Linked DNA regions of Macaca mulatta. The protein of the gene in region 3 interacts with the protein of the main gene of each other region in a pairwise test. Links are inferred from orthologs where the notes say so. Each region holds a gene or a part of one and is shown on either strand. Other genes may lie near its edges. The genes, in order: STK19, MAGED1, BHLHE40, RHOBTB3, NAA50, SMYD1 and AANAT.

The links.
Region 1: the proteins of BHLHE40 (region 3) and STK19 interact in a two-hybrid assay, tested with the Homo sapiens proteins (2 studies listed by BioGRID). The two-hybrid records come from large-scale screens. The link is inferred for Macaca mulatta from reciprocal best matches to the Homo sapiens genes BHLHE40 and WHR1.
Region 2: the proteins of BHLHE40 (region 3) and MAGED1 interact in binary tests that used the Homo sapiens proteins (3 or more experiments, as listed by UniProt). The two-hybrid records come from large-scale screens. The link is inferred for Macaca mulatta from reciprocal best matches to the Homo sapiens genes BHLHE40 and MAGED1.
Region 4: the proteins of BHLHE40 (region 3) and RHOBTB3 interact in binary tests that used the Homo sapiens proteins (3 or more experiments, as listed by UniProt). The two-hybrid records come from large-scale screens. The link is inferred for Macaca mulatta from reciprocal best matches to the Homo sapiens genes BHLHE40 and RHOBTB3.
Region 5: the proteins of BHLHE40 (region 3) and NAA50 interact in binary tests that used the Homo sapiens proteins (3 or more experiments, as listed by UniProt). The two-hybrid records come from large-scale screens. The link is inferred for Macaca mulatta from reciprocal best matches to the Homo sapiens genes BHLHE40 and NAA50.
Region 6: the proteins of BHLHE40 (region 3) and SMYD1 interact in binary tests that used the Homo sapiens proteins (3 or more experiments, as listed by UniProt). The link is inferred for Macaca mulatta from reciprocal best matches to the Homo sapiens genes BHLHE40 and SMYD1.
Region 7: the proteins of BHLHE40 (region 3) and AANAT interact in binary tests that used the Homo sapiens proteins (3 or more experiments, as listed by UniProt). The two-hybrid records come from large-scale screens. The link is inferred for Macaca mulatta from reciprocal best matches to the Homo sapiens genes BHLHE40 and AANAT.

Annotation. Positions count from the first base shown.
Region 1 is NC_133409.1:150,337,769-150,342,035, forward strand, and holds the start of STK19 (winged helix repair factor 1), read right to left. Parts: upstream 2,801-4,267; 5' UTR 2,695-2,800; coding exon 2,448-2,694; exon of another isoform or gene 2,434-2,447; intron 2,363-2,433; coding exon 2,153-2,362; intron 2,022-2,152; coding exon 1,885-2,021; intron 1-1,884. Other genes in the region: DXO (decapping and exoribonuclease protein), read left to right, coding at 2,994-3,349, 3,520-3,755, 3,842-4,061, 4,189-4,267. UniProt on the Homo sapiens protein: DNA-binding protein which is required for efficient transcription-coupled nucleotide excision repair (TC-NER). Acts as part of a TC-NER complex which assembles and interacts with RNA polymerase II (RNAPII) when it stalls at DNA lesions.
Region 2 is NC_133426.1:51,809,909-51,813,408, reverse strand, and holds part of MAGED1 (melanoma-associated antigen D1), read right to left. Parts: intron 2,108-3,500; exon of another isoform or gene 1,980-2,107; intron 1,462-1,979; coding exon 1,381-1,461; intron 681-1,380; coding exon 1-680. UniProt on the Homo sapiens protein: Involved in the apoptotic response after nerve growth factor (NGF) binding in neuronal cells. Inhibits cell cycle progression, and facilitates NGFR-mediated apoptosis. May act as a regulator of the function of DLX family members.
Region 3 is NC_133407.1:143,722,682-143,725,811, reverse strand, and holds the end of BHLHE40 (class E basic helix-loop-helix protein 40), read right to left. Parts: intron 2,842-3,130; coding exon 1,985-2,841; 3' UTR 501-1,984; downstream 1-500. UniProt on the Homo sapiens protein: Transcriptional repressor involved in the regulation of the circadian rhythm by negatively regulating the activity of the clock genes and clock-controlled genes.
Region 4 is NC_133411.1:102,094,572-102,098,739, reverse strand, and holds the start of RHOBTB3 (rho-related BTB domain-containing protein 3), read right to left. Parts: upstream 2,801-4,168; 5' UTR 2,433-2,800; coding exon 2,431-2,432; intron 2,423-2,430; exon of another isoform or gene 2,318-2,422; intron 2,255-2,317; coding exon 2,029-2,254; intron 1-2,028. UniProt on the Homo sapiens protein: Rab9-regulated ATPase required for endosome to Golgi transport. Involved in transport vesicle docking at the Golgi complex, possibly by participating in release M6PRBP1/TIP47 from vesicles to permit their efficient docking and fusion at the Golgi.
Region 5 is NC_133407.1:170,005,194-170,007,965, reverse strand, and holds part of NAA50 (N-alpha-acetyltransferase 50), read right to left. Parts: intron 2,336-2,772; coding exon 2,269-2,335; intron 668-2,268; coding exon 490-667; 3' UTR 1-489. UniProt on the Homo sapiens protein: N-alpha-acetyltransferase that acetylates the N-terminus of proteins that retain their initiating methionine. Has a broad substrate specificity: able to acetylate the initiator methionine of most peptides, except for those with a proline in second position.
Region 6 is NC_133418.1:26,070,463-26,073,962, forward strand, and holds part of SMYD1 (histone-lysine N-methyltransferase SMYD1), read right to left. Parts: intron 576-3,500; coding exon 445-575; intron 1-444. UniProt on the Homo sapiens protein: Methylates histone H3 at 'Lys-4' (H3K4me), seems able to perform both mono-, di-, and trimethylation. Acts as a transcriptional repressor. Essential for cardiomyocyte differentiation and cardiac morphogenesis.
Region 7 is NC_133421.1:86,220,800-86,223,936, reverse strand, and holds AANAT (serotonin N-acetyltransferase), read right to left. Parts: upstream 1,909-3,137; 5' UTR 1,834-1,908; coding exon 1,680-1,833; intron 1,417-1,679; coding exon 1,262-1,416; intron 925-1,261; coding exon 619-924; 3' UTR 501-618; downstream 1-500. UniProt on the Homo sapiens protein: Controls the night/day rhythm of melatonin production in the pineal gland. Catalyzes the N-acetylation of serotonin into N-acetylserotonin, the penultimate step in the synthesis of melatonin.

The DNA.
Region 1 (4,267 bases), on a different chromosome or scaffold from region 3:
TCTGCCTCAACTTTCTAAACAGCTAGAACAGGTGCATACCACCATGCCCAGCTAAGAATTTTTGTGTTTCAATTTATTTTATTTATTTAGTAGAGATGGGGTCTCAGTTATTTAGTAAAGACGGGGTCTCACTTTGTTGCCCAGACTGGTCTCAAACTTTTGGTTTCAAGCTATACTCCTGCCTCAGTCTCCCAAAGTGGTGGGATTACAGGCATGAGCCACCACACTCAGCCTAGATTTGTTTATATTTTACTTTACCTCCTCCCTCTTCTTAGACCACTGTCTTGAATCACAGGTTCTAATACTGCCAACTACTTCACTTTCTCAAAAATCTCTTTACTTTTACAATAGGCCTCTTCCTGGGTTACCTTTTTTTTTTTTTTTTTTTTTTGAGACAAGGTCTAGCTCTATCACCCAGGCTGGGGTGCAGTGGTGCTATCTCAGCTCACCTCCCCAGCTGAAGCAATCCTCCCACCTCAGCCTCCCCAGGTGCGTACCACCATGCCTGGCTAATTTTTGTATTTTTTTTGTAGAGATGGGGTTTTGTCATGTTGCCTATGCTGGTCTCAAACTCATGAGCTCAAGAGATCCACTCACCTCGGCCTCCCAAAGTGCTGGGATTACAGGCGTGAGCCACCGCCCCGGCCTCTGGGTTCCTCTTAACTCAGGCAATTCCTTCTCTGCCTCTGCCACAGATTCCTCTTCTTCTGCTTTCCCTTTATGTCAGTGGATCTCAAATTTTAAGGCACACTTAAAAAGGACTTGAGGCAGTTCAAAAGTGTAGAGTCCCAAATCCCACCCCAAGAGATTGTAACTCATTAACTTTGGATGAGTCCCAGGAACCTGTATTTTTTAAATAAACAGCCCATGTAATTTTGACACAGGCATAACTCAGCTCATACATTCAGTAACACTGCCTTAAATGACAGTGTTTCCCAGCATTGTGGATTTGACCCTATCAACTTCCACTCTAAACCTGGAGTCCTTAACCATGGACCTCAGAAGATTAGTGAAGTATTTCCCCCCAACTGTACATACATCCTATGTATATGTGGCATACGTACATTTTTCTGGAGAGAAATAGCCATAACTTTTATCACCTTCTAAAGATTATAAAAAGGTTAGAAATCACTCCTCTACCCACTCTTCCTACTGGATCTCACCACATTCACAGAATTAACCACTTGCTATTCACACCTCCATGACTTGTAATTCTATTATCACTGGCCAGAATTCTCTCCAACTCTAATAGCCACTTGTCTAATACGTTTGTCTTTGGATGCTCCACATGCACCATCAACTCAACTTGTACAAAATTAAACACATTATCCGTAGTCCAACAACTAAATGTGCTCCTAATACCACCAGCCACGCAGTCATCCGGAAAGTCTGAGTTTTCCTGGACTCCTCCCTTTCTCACTCTCCTCTCCCTCCGTACTGCACTGACCTAATTTAGGCCTTCACCACTTCTCAGATGCAGTGTCTTCTTAGCTGACCTCCCTGCCTCATCCACTACCTCCAATACACCATTCCCTCTCTCTATGACATTCTCTACCAGCCCATCGCCTCAGTGTAAGATGGAAACAACACTGATGTACAAGGCCTGTCATGATCTGACGTCTGTCTGCACTCCCAGTGCTCTATGTTCGAACCATGCCCCATGACTCGGTTTCCCCAAAAGCCTCGTTCTTCTCCCTCCATGGTTGAAATGCCCTGTACTGCCTGCGACCCATTTAACAGGGTCTCTGTGGCACCCCAGTGCCCGGAACAGTGCCCTCCCCTGAAAGGCCTAATGCTTGCTGAACAGCTGGCGGAGTGACTGAGGGACAGGAAATTTTAGGAGTCAGGAAAGGGGCCTCCGGCGGTCGCACCGACGCCCCTCACCAGCTGCCGGTCGGCCACGGTCCTGTCAGGCACGAGGCTGTACACCTGGCTCCTCAGCACGATGGGCGGCAGAGCGTCCTCAAACAGACCTCGCGGGAACAGCTGCATGAGCTCTGAGACAGCCGCACGCGCCGACCCTGGACCGAGAAACCGGGTCAGAGACAGGGAACTGGGGCGGGGACGCGGTTCCAACAAAACTCTCGGCTACCGGAAGCGAGGCCCCACCCAGCTGGGGTCTTTAGCCCCGCCCCGGGGTTGCCATGGTTACCTGGCTCGCCACGAAGAGGATCCGACTCCACAAGCCCTCGCTTCCGCCGCCTCTTAACTCCAAAGGTCTCCGGGACCAGGTGATGCCTTTTTCGGCTCATATCCCGGGATTTTATGGTACCGGGGAAGAGGTAGGAATGGAGGGAAGAGAACCTGAAAATAGGGTCTTCCGGCGCAGAACAGTGACGTACGGTCTCCCCGGGCGTCCCTCCTAGACCAGGTGGTGACGAAAAGGGCGTCAACTTGTCTTCCCTCAGGCCAGTCAGTGTTGGGAGGGGCGGTGGCGACGCAGATACCCGCACCACGTCCGCCGGGCCGGGCCTCACGCCGACCGCGGATTGGCTCCCTCCAAGGGCACGCACGCCTGGGGACTCGTGGGCGGCGTGGAGGGGCGCCGGTGGCCACGTTGGGATCAGCCTCCTTCGTAAAGCTCACACCTCCCCGGCCCCGGGAGGGGTTTGCCCGCCACTGTCGCTGAATGATTGCATCATCGAAAGCAGAAAAACCACTTTTGCATCCTTCGGCCTCTCGTGTGCCTGCCATGACGTCATAGCCCTGCGGAGGTGGAAGTTGGGGAAGTGGATTTGAGGTAACTGGATTCTTGATCTGAGCGCAGGCGTCCTTCCTAACCTCACTGCATTTGGAGGACCTGGAGGGAGGGTGGGTGAAGGGCAAGGAAAGAGGCAGGATGAGAGGTTGGCCGCGGTGGCGTCTGAGGGGCCTGAATGTTTCAAGGCCAGAACCTGGCGATCAGGTGGCTCGCTTAGTCCTAAACCAGTCATCCTTCTCCAGGCCTCCTCTGTAAAATGGAAACTCTGTCCCCCTGCTTCCCTTAGGACCTCATGGATCCCAGGGGGACCAAGAGAGGAGCTGAGAAGACAGAGGTAGCTGAGCCTCGGAACAAACTACCCCGTCCAGCACCTTCTCTGCCCACAAACCCTGCCCTCTACTCTGGGCCCTTTCCTTTCTACCGGCGCCCTTCGGAACTGGGCTGCTTCTCCCTGGATGCTCAACGCCAGTACCATGGAGATGCCCGAGCCCTGCGCTACTATAGCCCACCCCCCACTAACGGTCCAGGCCCCAACTTTGACCTCAGAGACGGATACCCGGATCGATACCAGCCCCGGGACGAGGAGGTCCAAGAAAGGCTGAACCACCTGCTGTGCTGGCTCCTGGAACACCGAGGCCGGTTGGAGGGGTGAGCAAAGCGTGGCAGGCAGTATATCTGGAGACCCGTACTACCCTCTAAAATTAGGAGAGCCACAGCTGGGGTGAGAATCAGTCCTTAAAAGAAACAGACTATTCTTCGAGGGGAGCATCTCACTAATGCTTGTGTCAGACCTTCAGCCTGTAACTCCTGCCTCTCAGGGGTCCAGGCTGGCTGGCAGAGGCCATAGTGACATGGCGGGGGCACCTGACAAAATTGCTGACGACACCGTATGAGCGGCAGGAGGGTTGGCAGCTGGCAGCCTCTCGGTTCCAGGGAACACTATACCTGAGTGAGGTGGAGACGCCGAAAGCCCGGGCCCAGAGGCTTGCTCGGCCACCGCTCCTCCGGGAGCTTATGTACATGGGATACAAATTTGAGCAGTATATGTGTGCAGGTGAGTTGCCCCTGCTTCATAGCCCCCTTCCCCTTCCCAGAGATTGAGAGTCCCCCACCCCTGCTGCTGCTTCTCTCCTTGTGCAGACAAACCTGGAAGCTCCCCAGACCCCTCTGGGGAGGTTAACACCAACGTGGCCTTCTGCTCTGTGCTACGCAGCCGCCTGGGAAGCCACCCTCTGCTCTTCTCAGGGGAGGTAGACTGCACAGACCCCCAGACCCCATCCACACAGCCCCCCACCTGCTATGTGGAGCTCAAGACCTCCAAGGAGATGCACAGCCCTGGCCAATGGAGGAGCTTCTACAGGTTCAGGACAGGGGTGGGCAGGGCGAGAGCTTAGACTTGAAGGCTGGGAAAGGGACTTGGGGAGGAGGGTGAAGGCAGAATGGAGGGTGGACGAGGGGTCCCACTGACCCCTTGCTTTTCCTGACAGACACAAGCTCTTGAAATGGTGGGCTCAGTCATTCCTCCCAGGTGTCCCGAATGTTGTTGCTGGCTTCCGTAACCCAGAG
Region 2 (3,500 bases), on a different chromosome or scaffold from region 3:
GTCCGGGACTCCAGATTCTGAGCCTGGGAACCATCTGCTGATGTCTGTGCAGTTGCACCGTCAGATTCAGAGATACCTGGGTCGGTCTCTATGTCAGCCTGGGAAGTGGCCATTTTGGCCTGATTTACATTCTGGGTCTGGGTATCAGCTGTTGGGGACTTAGTGGTATCATTCCAAGCCTTGAAGGGGGTCTTAGGCCTGCTGTTGGCCAGGTCATTGGCATTGAGAGACTGAGAGAAATTGTAGGTGGCATTTGGGCCCACTTTAGTAGTGGCATTCTGGGCCTTAAAGGCCATCTCAGACTTGTTAGCAGCTAACTCACCAGTGGTTGCTGCCTGGGAAAAATCATAGGCAGCATTTGGACCCTTTGGGGTGGCATTTTGGGACTTAAGGGCTGCCTTGGGCTGCGTGTTGGGCACGTCCTTGGCATTATGAGCCTGAGAGAAATCATAGACACCATTTGGGCCTTTTGTGGTGGCATTCTGGACTTTAAAGGCTGACTTAGGCCTAGCGGCAGCTGCTGAAACCTGAATGTCAGCCATCTCATTGGCAGTTGGGGGCTGTGAACTCTGGGGACTAGCAGCTGCAGTGGCCTGGTTAGTAGGTGGAGCCTCTGAGATCTGGATGGCCTCCATCAAGGTCTGCATAAGCAAGGCGCTGTCTTCTACAGAGGCCTCAGCCTGCAAACACAGGAGGGGAAAAATTAAATCTCTGGGCCTCTGAGGCAGGAGGTGGGGTGGGAATAGGGAGCCCGGGTGGCAGCGCAACAGGGGAGCTGCAGGCGGGTGGTGGGTGCAAAAACAGGGGGGCTGAGGCAGAGATCTATGGGACCCGCAAGGGGCGATAGGGGGCGGGGCGGGTACTAAACATGTGGCAGGGATGGAGTAGGGCAGGGGCAAAATGAGGGGTGGGGAGGTGTGCAGAGAGTGGGCAGGAACAGGAGCCAGGGACGCTCTGAGAGGCGTGCAGTAGCAGCTCAGGACGGGAGGCGGATCGCGGAGTTGAGAATAAGGGGGGTCGCACAGAGTGGGGAATGCAGAGAGAGGGAGGGTGGAGGCAGGAGGCTGGGGGAGGGGGTGACAGACTGCTCTACAAGCGTCAGGACTCTGGAAAAAAAAAATGGTTCCTTACCCACCCCGCATTCTCTGGGCAGATTGCCCTGACTACTAACAGGGTCTCCCCTCTCTCTGAGCAGGGACTGATGGCTGAAAAGAGACGCCCCTCCCCCCCTTCGATAAACGATGAGAATTCGAAAGGCCCACGGAGTCTAGTCACTAAAGAGGGCCAAACCGGATCCCGGCGTTTGGGAAACCAAAGAGGCCCGCGGGGAGGGGTGACTGTCGGCTGGGGAAATGCTGGGGTGGGGAGTGGAGATCTCACCTGGAAGCCGAGGAGGCCCGCACCACAGTCCATTTTCTGAGCCATGGCTCCTGTCCCTCTGGCAAGAGCGGAGCCTGGGGGCTGTGGGAGAGGGGCAGGGCGTTATACTACAGAGGGCAAATACGAAGGACCGAATTGGGAGGGGGATGACTGTGGTCTGATTGTGCGGGCGGATAAGGTGAATGTGAGGAGGAACGGATCGGAGCAGGAAAAGTGAATGGGCGTCCAGATGCAGGTTCTGAACCCCGAGAAGCTACTGACAGGGAGATGCTTCAAATCGGGGTTTGGGAAGCAGATGAGTTCTAAATTCGCGGAGGAGGGGTGCGGTTGGGTTGGGATTCGCATTTGGGAAGTTGCATGGAGGTTTTGAGTCAGGAGGAATCATCTAACAGTACAGATCGAGGTCAAGGAATCTGAGGATTTCGAACGATGGGAGGGATCGGACAGGGGTTTTGAATCAGGAAGGATCGGGAGGGGCACGTGAATTGGGGCTTGGGGGGTGGAAAGGGATTCAGAATCCAGGGTGAAGGGATCGGGATAAAACAAAAATGGGGGCCCGCACCAGGGGGCAGATGCCCTGTCTGGGGGCTAATTCTCACCTTGCCTCAGGCCCCAACCCCAACCCCCTCGCTGCCTCCCTTCTTCACGACTCAGAGGATCGGGATTGCTGGGCTCGGCTCTCAGCAGCCGCACTCTCTCCTTGTCCAGGAGAAAATGCCAGCGCGGCAGCTTGGGCGACCCCGCCTCTTCGCCTAATATACCACCCACCGCCTCAGGACGTTACGCGCATGCGCAAACACTGAAAAGCCAAAGTCAGTCCCGCCTGCTTTCCCAACAAAAGCTTCGTCCTGGAGACCATGATGCGCATGTGCGCTTGAAGGCGGTCCCGCCCCCTTTGCCAACACACCACCCCACCACCAACCAGGTCGACACTATACAACAGCACCTCCCCTTCCTCTACGCCCCCTCCCCCAACAGATGCGCTGTGCCTCTTGGTCACACCCCTTGCCCCACACACCGGCCCCCTACCTTTTCCGCAATGCGTCTCTATTCCGTCCCTCCCCTACTCAAGGCCCCTCCTGTCAGGTCGGCTTGCATCTCCACCCCCTTGCCCAGCACGCTTAGGTCTCTGTGTGGGGTCTCTAATTGCAACAAGTGTTAGACCTCCGCTGAGGAAACGGAATGGCCTGAGAGGATACACTATTGGAGCTAACAAAGTAGTAGTAGTAAGTCTGTGGCTGCCACGTGACTCCATGATTTCTCCCCCACTCCCTGCCCGCCCCCACAAGCTCCCAGACGCAGAAAGAACGTTAGTTTCTTCCCTGTTCTTTATGCAGCTCCGGTGATGGACTCATTTGTGTGTGTTGGGGGAGGAAAGGAGGGAAGGGCACAGCTTGTACATCACAGCAGGATTTGTGCTGGGGCTTGTCTTCCTGTCACAGCAGCCCTGGGAGGTGAATGTCAGCACCCTCATTTTACAGATCAGGAAGATGAGGCACATATACATTGCATAAACTAGACAAGGCCACAGAGCCAGAAAACAAAATGCAAAATTTGGGTCTGGGTCTTCCTGACTCCAAAACCCACGTTCTGCTCATGCTGCCCTGGGGACTAAGGGTACCCCTCCCTCCTCCATTTGAGCAACAGACCACGGCACCCCATTTGTCCTAAACAAGCAAAGTTTGTGTTCTAGGAGGCCCAAGCTCATGCTCTGCATTCAGGAGGACACAAGCAGAGGCCCCCACCCTCCCCCCTGCCCTATGTGGGTCCATCCAGGTGTGGAAATTGCTCCTTGGGGTCCACTCTGTGCTCAGAACGTCAGGCCTCTTCCTTATCAGGGATACAATCACACTGTCCCTGAGGCCTTCTGGTGCCCACTGGAGCAGCCAGGACAATCAGACCTGTGTGTCTGAGCCATGGCAAGCCCTGGTTCCTTTCAGGGCTGGGGTCTGGGGCAGCTGTGGTCTTACGGAGAGAAACTGGGCTGGGCTTCAGAATTCCAGCGATGGAGTGCCCAGCCTGTCTGTCTCCAGCTGTGTGAGCCCGCTCAGGTCACTCAATTCTCTGAGCCCGGTTTCTCAATGTGCAAAGTGGAATGCACAGCAAGTGGGTCCTACCCA
Region 3 (3,130 bases):
CCAGCAGGAATAAGACAGGATATGGCAAATCCATTAGACCTTCATAGATTTGAAAAAGCTAGACTGCTTTGGCAAAGAGGTGCTATCCCAGCATCAATTAGTATTGCATAATAATCCAGTAAATCTTTTCTCAATGTGCCTCTCCCTCCAGCAGGCTCCCCAGACACTGCAGCCCACGGTATCATACCTTGGTTTTCTGTCAAGTTCCAAGGACCACGATGAAAGCAGGCGGGGGAAAATATGCTTTTTACTTAACTCTGGAGAGGTAGAGGATGATCGTGTACCCCTGGCAAGGGTTAAAAAAAAAATTAAACCAATATTTACCTGCCAAGTTGACTAAGCTTATTCTGATTGAATACAAAGCACATGAAAAGCTGAATGAAATTACACTGAGATTAACTGGTTTGCTTAAGCCAAGAAGGAAGGACATAGGAGTCAGCCATATCACACCAATTGAGTTATTTAAAAAAAATTCAGGAGACCATCTTTCTCTTCCACAGGAAAAGAATTATTTTATTAAGTATTTTAAAACAACTACTTAACATTTACTCATAGATAAAAATATTTACAATTTTACACCTTCAGGAAGGCTCCAAAATATAAACACTGTACCTCTCCCTAGAGAAAAAAAAAATTATTCTTCTCTTCAAAAACAGGAATACATTCATTTTTTTCTCACTGTGTGAATCAAGTAATTATACAAATAAACATCTGAAACATTTTCCTTTTTTAATATATTTATATAATATATAACAGCTTTACAAATAAAGGCAACGACTTAATACCGAAATAAAAACAGGAAAAGAAAAAGTTAAAACACGATCAGCAATCAGGCATAGTGCATTTTGAAAAGCTGCTGCGGGGCTAGCTGGACACATCGGGAAAACAAGTACTCTGGACCAAAAATAAAACTTCTTTGAAGGAGACAGAATCCTTTTTAGCAATAAGGACACTCCATATGCCGTTGGGCAAGAGGAATTAGCCTACAGAAAGGATCTGGCGGTGCCAAGGCTTGGTTAGGCCTTTGAGAAGCTAAGCTTGGTTAAAAGGAGTTTTAGGATGGAACTGAAAACTGAGTCTAGTTCTGTTTGAAGGCAGCAGTTTGTTACTCAGCTTTGTGCCCTTTGGGGTGCTCGTTCGGGGTGTCTGTGTCTCTCAGACCTTGGTTTGGATCCCTGAACAGTAAGTACTAATGGTTAGACCTAGAAACAGGTGCCAGAAGCCCAGGGAACTCCTGCCTCCCTCCCTCCTGGGCAGCTCAGCTTGTACAAGGGGGCCACTTTCAGTTCCTTAGTAAGCTAATCACTACGAAAGCCTGAGTAGGGAACTACATTCTCTTTATTCCTCCGAGGCAGGGGTGGGGAGCAGACCTGCAGAAACCTCCCCAAACCACTACCGTGCTATGCCAGTGCCTGCTACCTCACCATGTTAGCAGAAAGCTCGGTCTGACTGCTCTCTCCCCATCGTCTGGTGAGTCACGTCGACAATAAAGGGAAAAGGGTGGGGTCCTAACAGCTGGTTGGGAGCTGAGCCCTGGAAAGCCCTCTTTTGAAAGTACCTTCTGCTGAAAGCCACAGACCCAGCTCCCAAACTGAAGAGTGACTCACAGACCAAGACTTTGAAGCTTTTGAAAATCCAGCTGATGTGTATCAAAGGGGGCTATTCTCTGGGTGGGGAAAAGCCCAGAAGTCTGCTACAATCCCCCCAAGTCTCCTGATGTCAAGCAATCCTTCGTGACTTCCCTATGCCAAAAGGAGCTTTAAAGTCCTAGACCAACAGGCAGGCACACATGTGCACGCACGCGCACATACACACATACACACACACACACACACACACACACACACACCCTGAATCTTCTCTCCATGCCTCAGATTATCTCAGTATACACAATGCAACAATCTTGCAGCATTCACAAAAACTTTTTTGTTGTTTTTTAGGAAGTAGCGAGGAAGGAAAGCAAAGCAGCAGGATCCCCTAGAGTTTAGTCTTTGGTTTCTAAGTTTAAAGGGGGGATAGGCTTCAGGGCTTGGAGCAAGACAGAAGAGTCGACGGACGGATGAGCTGGCAAGGGAGAAGGGAGTCTCTGGGGCATGAGCAAGGGAGCCGAGATCTTGTCTGGGTTCATGAAGCTAGAGAGGGCTGCGGCAGAGGCGTTGAGGCCTGGGTATAGCACTGGCACCGAGGTGGGATACCAGCACTTCTCCAGCATGGGCAGGTAGGCAGTCGCTGAAGGTGGGATCAGGTAGAAGGGCAGGCAGAAAGGAGGCTGGTGTGGGTGTGGGCCCAGGAACGGGGAACTGATCAGGTCACTGCTAGTGAAATGGCCTTCATCATCCGAAAGCTGCATCCGGTTCTTTTTTGTGGGGGGTTCTTCGGATTCTTGCTTAATTGCGCCGATCCTTTCTCCCATGGTGAACCTGCGTCCGTGGTCGCTTTTGAAGCACGGCTGGTCACTGCGCAAGTCGCCCTTCTCCGATTCTCCTCCGTAGCCACTGTCTGTGTCCGTGTCGCTGCCGCTCTGCTCCCCACTCGAGTGAGCGAAAGTCCGCTGGATGACTGGCACGCAGTTTTTCCCAGGACCTTCCGAGCCTTTGGCCGGAGAGCTGGGTTTTTCCTTGAAGTCCATCACTTTGGGAGCTGGGTCTGATGGCTTCCTGGAGGTACCACCCTGCAGCAGCTCTGAGACCACCCGGTGGAGGTGGGTGACAAGCTGCGAAGACTTCAGGTCCCGAGTGTTCTCGTGCTTTGCCAGGTACTGAAGCACCTCCCGGGCACAAGTCTGGAAACCTGAGCAGAACATCTCTTGACCTGTTTCAACATTTCTCCCTGACAGCTCACCTAGGGAAACAAAAATCCAAAGGAAAATGTTTCAGAAGGCCCTGTGGTGCACCTGGATACCTATACGCCAAAAAACCAGGTGCTTTCGTTTTTGTTAAAAAAAGAAATCGCATTTACTGATTTGTGTTCCTAACTCCAAAAGTAGTATGCTCAGAGAAGAATTACACTGAAAAGTATAAATAATTAAATTAAAATAATCCATATACTAACACTCAGATAAAATACGATTTTTAATGTTTGCATAATATCCTATCATGGAAATGGACCATAATTAATAGAGATGAGCTGC
Region 4 (4,168 bases), on a different chromosome or scaffold from region 3:
TTATAACAAACACTTTATTTTTATATTAGCTACCACTTATAGAGCAGCTACTAAATGTCAGCCTCTATACTTAGAACGTGATGCGTGCTAGTTTCTCATTCACTTCTCAGCACAGCTCTAGGAGGCAGATTATTTTATAGATAGGGAAAATAAGGCTGAGAAGGTAAGTGATTTAACAAGGACACGCAGACCTGAAATGGCAATGTGAGAATCTGAAATCAGATCCTTTTGATATCAAAGGCTGTGCTTTATCTGCTCTATGTAATATTCTGATTCTGTAATATGTCAAATAACAGTTTATTAATGCAATCAGCTTTAGTATCTCTGATGGGCTTTACTTACCACCAAGTGAAGAAAAGCACCTTATAAAGAGCAACTCTAGAAATGGAATCTCATATCTGAAGATCATTATAGCCCAGCAAATTGTACCGGGTTACAAACTTGGTGCCTTAAATAGGGCCAGAGTCTAACCAAACAAAAAGTGATTAGCAAAATAAACCATAACAACCAGCATATGGGAAAAATCCGTACCATAGAGGCTTATTTTCTCCATTTGGAAGATTTCATTTTACTAGACAAAGTGTATGGGATCACAAGCATTGCTGTTTGCAAAATTAACAATATAAACAGGAAAATGTTAACAGCTCAAATTAAATATAGGGAAAGCAATCCTAACATCCTAATGTAGCTAATTTTATTTTCCCTACGTTTACTCTATTCACCAAACATTTGTTCAACTGCATGTTGAACCGTTATGTTTTTAGGCTGTAAGATCTTTCACGACGAAAGAGTCCAAGTAAAAGAAGTGTTTCATTTGCCTGCATAGACTCTGGTCAGTAAGCTCTCCATCACACTTCTTATGACCAGCGTCATCACTGTCATAACTAGGGGTTTAATAGCATCTCTTAACTGAAAAGGTCTGTTTTTTATTTTACCAAATTAACAAACTTTCTTCTTTAACTGAAAACTTAAACAAGCGAGTGATCTTCTTTCTGTTACATGGAATTTTGCATAAAAAATTTTTCCAAGTACACTCTACACATTTTTTAGAAAGGCATGATAGTTTCCTATAGCCCTGATTCAGTTTTTAAAATTGCTGTTTAAATGTGAAATCTCACACAATGACAATTCGTATTTTTTCAGGCACTAAACTTTCTTCTGTTATTAAATGTAAACTTAGCTGAAACATACGTAACTCCAATATCAGTAAAGAATCAGAGATTTTCAAATAAGACCAAAGGAAAACATTCAAACATAATGTTATTGTATACTGAAAATACTTATATGTGTCAGAAAGTAAATTCCTTTCTCCCTTAATCAAACACTCAAGAATCGGGCTACAATTTATCCACTTCACTACAATTTTGTTCAATTATTACAAATTTTAATTTTTTAAGTTTTCCAAGCAACATTAGTAATATTATTTCTGATTTATGAGTCACTAAGACAAATGGCTAATACATAAAGAGTATTTGCATTATTAAAATTAAAAGTTTTCAGAGATCAATTAATAGTGCTATAAATGAGTCATTTAAAATTAACTCCCAGTCCCTGTCTTTTCCTCTGCTTTCCAGAGGAACTATTTCTGAACTGTCCCAATGAAAAGTATTTTTGCCTGTGTTGAGCTTTGAGAAGGCTGTATTTTTAGAACACCAATATTACACTATCACCCATAGGGTAGGCATAAAAAAACACTGCTTTCTGCTGGTGAAACTTAGTGACCCCGTCCCTTGGAGTTGGCACATTCAACTGTCAGCTGCCTCCCAAGGGACAACCCACAGTCGTGAAGTGTACCAGTAAGTGCTCCACATTCCCACTGGGGCCTTCTATCTTCCTAAGAGTCTTCTCTGACGGGGCTGTGCCCTGCCCAGTGAAACAAAGGACCGAATATTTTCTCAAAAATGTTTAAAAATTTGACCCATGTAACGCGAACACTCCACACTCACGGAAGTGGGCAGAAGGGGGAGGGGGCAAAAAAGGAAAGAAAAGCTTCTTCAGCCTTGGCGTGGAGCAGCTGCTGTTCCTTACCCAGACGGGACAGTCGTGGACCACCAGTTTGACATTCCCAAACGCACTGGCCTGATACTCGGTGAACACTGGACGCGCGACCGTGCTGGCCGCGTTCAGCAACAAGCTGCTCTCGTCCCCCGAGACCAGAGGGCTTCTCCCCAGGTAAGTGCGGATGAGACCCGACGGCCGGTTGTCCTGGTGGAACGCGTCCCCCTCGTTCCCCAGCGCCACGATGTGGATGGACCTGCACGGACAGAGAGGGGGCGAGGGGAGAAGGGAAGCACGGTCAGCGCGCGGGTCTCTCCTCGGAACAGGAAGTGCGGGGGACAGCGCGCGGCTAGGATGGGCACCAGCCCCCGTCCCTGGGGCGCACGGCACGCGCTGGAGAGAGACAATGGCAGGACGGCGGCGCGTACGTACATGATCTCAAATCCAAGGGCAGGGCGGCGACTCGGAGAAAAGCAGCGGCTTACGGCCTCGCGGGGCCCCCGGGCGGCGAGTTCACCCGCAATCCGCTCATCCCCGGCCGCGTCCCTCTCGCGCGCCTCCACCGCGGCGGGGCCGACGCAGAGCGGGGCCGGGGCCGCGCCAGCCAGCAAGCGAGCCGGACACCAGGGTGGGCTAGCGGGCGGGGGGCAAGCTGCTGCTACTCAGAGACTGCCCGGGAACATCGCCGGGCGCGGGACCGCCGCGCAGCCCCGAGTGGACGCAGCTGACCGCAGTCCCCTCTCCGCCGCGCCTCCTCGGCTGGCAGCTATCGCCTCCTGCTGCTGCTGCTGCCGCTGCTCCTCCTCCTCCTCTAGGCAGAGAAGGGGGGTCGGGGAGATCGGGGCCTCCGCCCCCTCGGCGGACCGGGCGAAGCACGTGCCGGCCCCGGGGGTCGGGCGGACACAGGGAACGCGCTCCCCGCCGAGGCCCCGGAGCTCCCGCGGCAGCGGCCGGACACAAAGGAGTGGCCCGCGCGGGGCGCCGCGGAATATAAATTAATAAATACAACGCCCCAGCCCGAGAGCTCCCGACCGCCAATCCGCCTGCAGCAAGTTTGTTCAACTCGCAAGGCCGTAACCAGAGCCAGGAAAGGGGGGTGGGGCGATGGGGCCCCCGCTCACTCCGGACTGGAAAAAGGAGGTTAGGGAAGCTAGGGATTCCAGCACGAGTGCCGCCCCAGCAACCCGATTTTCCCCCCTCTTGGCTTTGACCGAAAGTGCTTTACCACGGCTGCCGCTTTGTCATTTGTCAACATGCGCTACTGCTGTTTTCTAAAATCATACTTGTGAGAAAAAATAAAGACAACATTCATGCCACTGCAGAAAGGGTTCTTTGTTCGCACACCAATTAATTTGCTAATGTCGCCTTGGGGGGATTATTTACTATTTCGAGCTTTATTTAGCGTATTTTAGCGAAAACTTCAGGATTTTAAATGCTGGGATTTTTAGTGTGATCGTTTTTAAAGGAAGTTATGTATGGGGGTTTAATGTGTTGGTGAGTTAAATGCTAGTTTACTTGGAGATTTTTCTGTACACATTATGGACACATATTTAATAATAGCTCCGCAGACCAACTGAAAACATAATCATGTAAATGCAAAGATACTTTAGATTCTTTCATAATAATGCACTGAAGTAAAGGCTATGAATATCCCTAGCGTGCTTCAAACTACCTCAATACAAACGAACACTGGGATCCACTTACACCAAAATGGGCCAGGGATTACTCTGGGGTTAGACTCCTCCATACAGTATTAAAATTCTAACCAGTACCTTACTCCGTCTTAAAAAGAGTTCTTGCTTATCCTTTTATCTATTTATTTTTCCCTTCTGTAAAATTGGACTGTTTCTTTTCTCAACTGAGCTATTTTGAGGGTATGAAAGAAGGGGTATTGAGTAGGGTAGTAAAAAACTAGGGTAACAGCTTTTTATTATGGGCCCTTATTGCTCGGTTGAAAGTAGTTTAGTAGTTTCTCGTGCTCAGAGAAGATATAATAGCAGACATTCTTTATGTGGTCACTAATTTTTTTAAATCTAATTTCCCTTTGCATTTTCTGATTTCTCTTTTAGTCTCTAGAACCTAAACCATCCTTAAAAATTCCAGCATTCAGGATCACTTTTTCTCTTGGGTTAATGGAAAATATATTTTCTCATCAGTCTCTTCCAGAAAC
Region 5 (2,772 bases), about 26 Mb from region 3:
GAAGGACTAAAGGTGGAGTGAAGGCAACGTCTAGGGATTAGTATCCCAGTCTTAAAAAACCCAAAGTACCACAAACACACTCAACTAGTCTATGCATTAGAGAACAAGATATTGCTGCTGCTTCTTTTTGTCTTTTGAAATATACAATGTTTTGTAGGCTCTGCCCTTCAATGTGAAAGCAGGACATTAAATTTGAAATTTGACAATTAAATTTTTAGGACCATCTAGCTTTAACTGCAAAATTAAACAGATCTACCTTCTCCTTCCTTCAAACCACCTCACAAAAATAAGAGAAAACAATTCAAACATGATTATTTTTTTGAAGTCCTTCAAAGTATTATAACTCTTAGAGAAAAGGAAAGGAAGAAAGAAAAACAAGAACAAGGAGGGAGAAAAGCTTTAAAAGAAAAGTGTTGGGGGAGGGGGTATCAATGGGCCTCTCTTTTATTTGGCGACAAGCAAGTGCAAGAAAGTTCATTTGTAATTTGTTCAGTTGTCTGTCTTTTGCACATCTGCATTCTGACCAGAAGGAACTTTGAGGTTTTTCTGCAGCACATGAGCATCTGCAGGCTCTATCCTCTTATAGTAGTTCTTCTTTGTCTCAATAATCTCAAAGCCAAACTTCCTGTAGAAGTCAATTGCCGACTCGTTGCTGATCTGGACATGCCTGAGGTATAAGAGAGTATCAGAAAAAAATTAAAATTAAGGTTTCATCAAGTTTTAAGCATTCTCCACAGATAGCTCCAAATTGGTTGGAGCTAGAATGCTGCACATTTGTTACATTCTCTTTACAATTACCACTAATCAACAAAGGTTAGGCATGCTTACCTAAAAGCTTTTGATGACAATTTTACAGTTTTTTTTTGAGACGGAGTCTCTCTGTGTCGCCCAGGCTGGAGTGCGGTGGCGTGATTTTGGCTCACTGCAAGCTCCACCTCCCAGGTTCATGCCATTCTCCCGCCTCGGCCTCCCGTGTAGCTGGGACTACAGGCGCCCACCACCAAGCCCAGCTAATTTTTCTATTTTTTAGTAGAGATGGGGTTTCACCGTGTTAGCCAGGATGGTCTTGATATCCTGACTTAATGATCTGCCTGGCCTTGGCCTCCCAAAGTGCTGGGATTACAGGCGTGAGCCACTGCGCCTGGCCCAATTTTACACTTTTAATCTAATTTTTACATTTGTAAGACAGCTGGTTAAGATTAGAAGGCTCACAGTGTTTATTCTTATAGTCAACAAATGGAAAAGTACCACAGCTATCAAAATTTTTTCATTTTAAGAGGATAAATTATTAAAAGGCCCTATTAACACACAGAAAATAATGATGAAAAATAAAAAACTAGGGTCTCAAAGCTTGAAGATATATCTTCCTTCTGATTGATAAAAAACATGGTATGTTTTAAAAATTAAAAATGCAAGCTTTCTCAATTACTCCCAAAAATAACACTGTATAATTCAGCATCTCACACAGCCAAACTAAATTATGAACATCCATGACTGTGATCTTAGTCATAGCTCTTTATGTACAGCCTCTTGAGATTCAAGTATAATCTCAGCTAGGTAATCTATGATTTTGATTATTAAACTCTACTACAAATGATCTACTACAATGTTCAAGGCTATCCAACATAGCCTTGAACAAAACACACAAGGTTATGCACGAGAAAAGTAGTATTAATGGTTTTGAATTCTGAAGACTTGAGTTTTTTCTTTTTTTGAGATGCAGTCTCGCTCTCTCTCCCAGGCTGGAGTGCAGTGGCGTGATCTCAGCTCACTGCAAGCTCCGCCTCCCGGGTTCACGCCATTCTCCTGCCTCAACCTCCCGAGTAGCTGTGACATGGGCGGCCGCCACTATGCCCAGCTAATTTTTTAAATATTTTTAGTAGAGACGGGGTTTCACTGTGTTAGCCAGGATGGTCTCTATCTCCTGACCTTGTGATCCGCCTGCCTCGGACTCCCAAAGTGCTGGGATTACAGGTGTGAGCCACTGCGCCTGGCCAAGGCCTGAGTTTTAATCCTGATTTCCTCCCTATGATTTTGGAGCTCTCATCCTAATATAATAAAGCAATGTGTTCTATCTCAGGTCCCTAATCTACTATTATTAATAAAACAAAACTAAACAAAACAACTACTCGAATACTTTGTAACAACTACTTCCACAGTGTTTCCAAAGGCACAGTAAGTGACCAGATTTTAAAGTTTCTAGTCAAGATTTCTCCTGCCAACTTATTAAACCCCTCTGATAAGAACATAAAATATTAATTTACTTACAGATAAATGTTGTCAAAAGTACCATCTTTTTCACAGATGTTTAAGACATGATTTAACATTTTAGTTCCTGTTAATAAAACAAATAACATGTGACTTCATAAATCAACCTTTAAATTATGTATCTATCCACCTGCCATCTGAACTACTTATTGGGTCCTAATAGAATTTATGAGGTATAGACTATTCTTATTTTCCAAAGTTGTGTTCTCTCTCTACAATAGCTACATATGTTTAAAACTGTTAACAGAAGACTAACCTTTTTAAACAAGCACTTCCAGGTAGAAGAAAAACAGAAAAAGCAGAAGGGGACGTAAATAGCAAATCTATGTAGGGATTCCAGCAGAATTATGTTAACAAACATTAGTTATTTCTCACCATATTTTACATAATTCAGTAACCCTTTCTCAGTATTCCTTAAAAAGACCCAAATTAACTTACTAGGTCAGACACATTAACAAAGAATATGTTTATGCCTCTCTGAAGAAGTAAAAAAACCCACAATTT
Region 6 (3,500 bases), on a different chromosome or scaffold from region 3:
AGGCATGAGCCACCAGGCCCTGCCCCTTGTTAGTATCTTAAACCCTGCCCACACTTCTGTAAACTGTCCCTTCATTCAATTGTATTTGGGTAAACCCCTTTGAGTGTGCCTCCTGATTCCTGCTGAGACCTTGACTAAATGACCTCTAGACAGATAATCCTAGGCTTCAAGTTTTAAAATAGTAGTTAAAGGTTTATCTGACACATCTAGGCAGCCCCAAGAAACATACACACTCAGAAATGACCCAGGTTGAATTCTTTGATATCCTCCATGATGCCTTTCTCTCATTCACAATTATTCTGGAATGAGATTTCTATGTGCTATACATTTAAAATCTATGCTAGTTGAGGTTTAGCAGGTTGACTTTGGCTTAAGTCAAGTGGACAAAACACCATAGGTCTCCCCATCCCCATCACACACCCCCCCAGATAAAGACATACTCACTTGCCATTGTTAAATATGACAGTGCAGTTGGGCCAACAGTCATGGTTCACCAGGCCCAGGTTGGGGAAGATGCCTACGCCCACGGCCTGCAGACCTCTCTGATCACTGAGAGTAAAACCGTTGCAGTTAATCTACCCAGAGGAAAAGATGAAAGAGTCAGTCAACAGACATGGACAGAACGCTATTCTAGCTGTTGAAAGCAATTTTAAAAAACAGAGGACCCAGTCTCATCCTGGAGATGCTTAGGGAGTCTGGACACAGAACATTAGTCCCCTGTTCTCTGTGTGACTCCAAATGACGCACAAGATTAGGGCCATGGGACAGTCCCACATCTGCAAAAATGCAACCCTACCTTGAAAGTTTTTTGTGGCTGTATTCTAAAAGAGTCAAAGATGGAAATGTTTTCCTTTTTCTGTATCTGGGTCTTACATGAGTATTCCTCAGTCTCTGTCTTGGTTTTTCTCTCTGTACCCTTCTTTGCACGCGTGTGTGCGTGTGTGTGTGTGTGTATGTGTGAAAGAGCTTTTCCTTTCTCTATTTCCTCTGCCTACTTAGTTTAAACTCCTGTGGCTGTTCATAAAAAAAATTAACATCTCTTTTGATTATTTTGTATCTGGTGAATACTGTTATATTCCCTGCTCACAATTTTTAAATCTGGTGAGTGCCATATTTAACACTTATCACTGAGATTCAAGGCAAATCAAGTTGGTTACTACTGATGTGGCATCCAAGTGATTTTCTTTTCCTTAAAAATAAATTGTTCTTTACAGAAACAGACTCCAAATATCTGCTCTCACAGTATGAAAAATGCAGAAGAATAAATATAACCTAGAATACATTAGTAACTGCATGCAAATTTCCACTTCATCTGTAAATACATCTATGAATACATGCTATATATAACAGAAACCCAGTAGACATTTATTCCCTCACATGAATATTTGTCATAGATATGGAGGAGTGTCACTTTCTCCACTTACTCTCATCAGACATTTAGTAAGTTCATGATGTTAAGCCTGTGAGTACCACTAACAAGCTGTACTACTTGGAGCAAACTTCTTTCTTCTCTGAGCCCTGGTTTTCCCATCTATAGGTTGAATAAATTGGACTAGATGAGCTCCAAGGATCTTTTCAGCTCTAACCTTTGGTAATTATATGACCTCTAGCCCTAGTCCGCAGACCTATTAGGGATGCCCAAGATTGCGCAACACACCAATTCACCCCAAGGCTATAGAACATAACTGTTAAAAGTAAAAGCTTAGACCGGGCGTGGTGGCTTACGCCTGTAATCCCAGCACTTTGGAAGGCCGAGATGGGCAGATCACTTGAGCTCAGGAGTGCAAGATCATCCTGGGCAACATGGTGAAACCCGGCTCCTACAAAAAAATACAAAAATTAGCCAGGCCTATGCTAATTGCGTCTGTGGTCCCAGCTACTTGGTAGGCGGGAGGATGACTTGAGCCTGGGAGATGGAGGTTGCAATGAGCCATGATTGCACCTCGGCACTCCAGCCTGGGTGACAGAGTAAGACCCTCATCTCAAAAAAAAAAAAAAAAAAAAAGGTAGAAGCTCTGGCTCCTGAAAATACAGATTGCTTCTGGAATTTCCCTGGGCACAAGCTAACCATGTGGCTTTTGGAGGTCATGTAACCTCTCTGGACCTAGGTTTTCTGTTCTATAAAACAGAAATGCTGAAAGCATGGACCTTACCTTGTGTTGTAAAGACTGTGTGAAATAATACATGGGAAGCTGTGGTGGTTAATTTTGTGTGCCAACATGGCTGGTCAATGGTGCCCAGATATTTGGTCAAAAACTATAATGTATGCTTCTGTGAAGGTGTTTTTGGATGAGATTCACATTTAAATTAGTGGAGTTGAGTAAAGCAGAGTGCCTGCTAGAATGTGGGTGGGCCTCATCTAATCAGTTGAAGACCTCAAGAGAATAAAGACTCATCTCCCCTGAACAAGGAGTTCTGCCAGCAGAATGCCTCTGGACTTGCACTGCAACTCTTCCCTGATCTCCAGCCTGCTGGCCTACCTTGCAGATTTTGGACTTACCAAGCCTCCACCATTGTGTGAGCCAAATCCTTGGACTCAATCAATCTCTCTCCCTTTGTCCCCCAATATGGTGAAGACTCGAGAGATGTCAGTGTGATGTTTGTCCTCCTCCCTCCTCAGCCTGCTCACCTTCGCCACATAAAGAGCCTGGCCTACCAGGTGGAACACATCCATCCCCACAGCCAGGACCTGAGCCTCCTCATCCACTGGGCTCTCGCCCCCACTTCCGGGACTGTTATGGCCTCACCTGGCTTGGTTGCTCCCACCCCAAAATCCTGACTCCCCTCTCTCTGGCTCACAGCCCCCACTGCTGCAGCCTCCACATCAATCCTGCCTGGCAGACCTGGAAAAAGGTTTCCAAAGTGACTGGTGGGCAGGAAGGGATAGTGATTGGGGGTCTTTATTTTCAATGTGGAGAGGAAAAAGTATAAAAAGTGCAGATAAGTAAGAGGATAAATTACCATCCAAATCTATCATCCAGAGATGGATAAATAAGTAAGATTTGTATGTGGGATGCCAATTCAGATAGAGCAGGAATGGCCTCATAGTAAACAAGGCCAGAAGATAGAGTCCGGGATGAGGGGTCTTCATTTCAAGCTCCTATCCTCTTTCAGTCCTCTTGGCCTCCCCTCCCAGCTGTGGCCTGGCAGTTTCTGGAAACTTCTTAGTTGGACGATCCCAGCTGTCACCATGGCCCCTCCTTTATGAGGAATCATACTCTAGAATCTCTGGCTTTTATTAGTTGGGTCATTTGGAGGCCTGTCCCTGGGCTCTGAAATGGAAAGGGCAGTAGATGTTTCTGCTACATATGGTAAACAGAAGGTGGTTTCTCCAGAGCCTCTGGCTGCCTGGGCTAGATGAGACCTTTATGGAAACAGAAATTAGGGTCCAGGGCGGACAGGGCTTCCGCCTCGTAGTTCACTTCTGAGAAGCCCCACCCTCCCCAAGCAGGAGGAGGGAAGGAAAGAGGAGACAGACAGGGAGGGTGGAGAAGGGACGC
Region 7 (3,137 bases), on a different chromosome or scaffold from region 3:
GAGTTCGAGACCATCCTGGCTAACACGGTGAAACCCCGTCTCTACTAAAAAAAATACAAAAAACTAGCCGGGCGAGGTGGTGGGCGCCTGTAGTCCCAGCTACTTGGGAGGCTGAGGCGGAGAATGGTGTAAAAACCCAGGAGGCGGAGCTTGCAATGAGCTGAGATCCGGCCACTGCACTCCAGCCTGGGGGACACAGCGAGACTCCGTCTCAAAAAAAAAAAAAAAAAAAAAAAAGAGTGAGAAAGGGCATCCACGAGGCTGGGGAGAATAAGGACCCCCCTTGAGCAATGGGCTCCTGTCAGGATGCTGCCTTGGTGCCTTTGCCCACCTGCCAGGAGGAGGAAAGGAGCCAGGGAACCCACAGCGCCTCCCATTGTCCCCACTTACCAACCCAGCCCAGTCTCAGGTACAGAGTTCAGAACACAGGAGGTCCAGAGGCCTCGTGGGAACAGACAGGACACACCACTCCAGCTCGGGCTGTGAGAAGCCACCCCATCTCCTCTTTATTTAGCCCTGCTCTCTCCACTCTGGAAACTGCTGTCTCCATGCTCAGCTGAGCTAAGGGGCCCAGGGCAGAGACGGGGATCACGTTGGCAGCCAGGTGGGCAGCCCAGTTCAGCAGCCGCTGTTCCTGCGCAGGAAGGGGTGGCCCTGCAGGGAGCAGTGGAGCTCCGTGAAGCTGAGGGAGCCCACGGTGATGGCGCAGGGGCCCATGGCGTGGAAGCCGAACCTCTCATAGAAGGGTACCAGCGCGTCCTCGCACATGAGCGCGGCCCGGTGCACAGCCGGCTGGCTGCCCAGGTGGTGCAGGTAGCGCCACAGCAGGATGGGGCCCCTGCCCTGCTGCCGGAAGGCACAGTGCACGGCCAGCACGTGCAGGTGGGCTATGTGGCCCCCAGGCCTGTGCATCGTCAGTGACTCCTGGAGGTGAGCAAGGGACGAGAGCCCAGGTCACTTCTGCTGATGCATGCTCCTCCCCAGCCACCGACCCAGGCAGGGAGCAGGTGTCCCCTCGGTGCCTGTGGTCAGGGCTCCCGCCCCAGCCAAGGAGGGCCCCAAATTTTGAGCCATACCCCCATCCCCATGGAGAAAACTTGAAAACCCAGAACGCCTTGCCCTGGGAGGGGGCTGTGGCCTATACTCATCTCTCCAGTTCTGGAGGAAGAAATCCCAGCCCCTGGGCTCCCCTCCCCACCGTCTGGCTGACCTCTGTCTTCAGAGGCCTCCCTGGAGCTGGGCGTCACAGCGCCGTCCTCACCTGCATGAGTCTGTCCTTGTCCCAGAGTGAGCCGATGATGAAGGCCACAAGGCAGCCCTCCTCGAACCAGCCCAGGGACAGCTCCGGACACAGGGTCAGGAAGTGCCGGATCTCATCCAGGTACAGGGGGCAGACACCCAAGACGGAGATGAAGGCTGTGGCAGGAGGCTCAGGTGGGCAACTGGTAGTCGCTGTGCCTCACGTCCACTGTCTGCTGCACCCCGAGTGTCTACTCAAATGCCCCATTCCCCCCAAGAAAATGGGGTTTAGGGCTGCTGTTTCCTCCACTTTCTTGAGCGCACACATGGTCTGATACTCTGGGACCCAGCCTCCAAGACAGGAGACTCAAGGGTCTCCTCCCCACAGGATAACTGGACCGGAGTGGAGCTTCCCTCTGACCCTGTGCAGGGCCACTCACCTTCACGCTCGATCTCAAAGGCGCTGACGGCGTCCTCCGGGGTGAGGCAGCGAAACTCGCTGGCAGGGAGCGTGTGGCGCCGCTGACAGCTCGAGATCGCAGGCGGCAGACGCGGGGCCTCGGGTTTCGGGGGGTGGGTGCTCTGTGTGGACATCCTGGCCACTGGTGCCTCCCTGGGGCACCCCACCTTTGGAAGTGGCCTCCTAAGCCACGGAGGGCCTCCCAGCACCTGTTGGAGAACAGCAAGGGGCAGGGGTCTGATCCTCATCTCCAGGGAGTCTGGCCCCACACTGTGCATCTGGCCTCTTTTATAGCAGGAACTGGGTGGAGCCAGCCCCCAAATCAATGGGCACATTCCCCGGGTACCTGGTCTTCAAGGCTGTTACCAGGCACTACAAACATTGGCACTGTCTCCCCACCTTTCCCTCGCAGCCAGAAGGATCCCTGGAGGTCTGTCCCCTTGCAGACCTGCAGACACTGGTCTCAGGTGCCTTCTGGGTGCTTCTGAGCCCCAGAGATGGCAGGGATGAGCAGGGCTCCATGGAGCCTGGGGCACCCCAACCCTGCTGCCCACAGCGGGGAGGCAGGACTCCTGACCCTCCACTGACCACATCTAATGCAGCTGTGCAGTGGGTGGGCCCCCGGGTCCCCCACACCACCATTCATGTGGTTTATCTTACCTCCCCAGAGGGAGGCTTCTGGTTTTCTGGGTGCAAGATCCTGTGGCGGAGAGCTTTTTAGGTAGTCTCAGCCCTTGGTCCTAGAGAAAAAGCCCCTTAATCCCCTTAGGGAGCCTCTATTTCTATCCAGATGGCCTCAGACTGGGCCACACATATGCAGGATTTGTGGTGGGGGGTGGGGAGGTTAGAGGGAGCCGGGGGCTGCAGAGGGCCTGGGGGATGGGGAGGAACAGGCAAGGAGGATGCATAGGATACCCCCTGCCCCACACGTCCAGCTCATCGGACATGCCTCTCTGGGCACTCTTGTCTCCCAAGACACCCTGCAAATTTGCAGTTCTTAGAGGAGGCCATCCCTCCCTCTACCTTCCAAGACACTTAATAAACTCCGTGACTTCCATGTTTCCCTCCATGTCTAGAAGCTCCAAGCAGGGAAGCTCCTGTTCCTGAAGGCTGAGAGCCAGGAGCTGGGGTTCCACCTACCTGGGCTGTGGAGAGGGCACCGTGTTCCCTCCACAAAGCCAGTGGCCCTGGGGACCTGTCCGCAGGCACAGGAACCAGGAAAATCCAGGACTCCTGGCTGCAAGGCTGTAGTAGCAGATGTTACCAGGGCAGCCTGTGGTGCTGTTCTCAGAGGTTTCTAATCCCCCCCACCCCACCTCTCAAGCTATCCCAGGCAGGATGACGCCAGCAGGGCTCTGGCAGCCTCTGCCCCTGCCTTGCTGAAGGGAAACGTCAGCTCTGGTGCCCTGGGCACAGAAGGGATTACCAGAGGCTGACT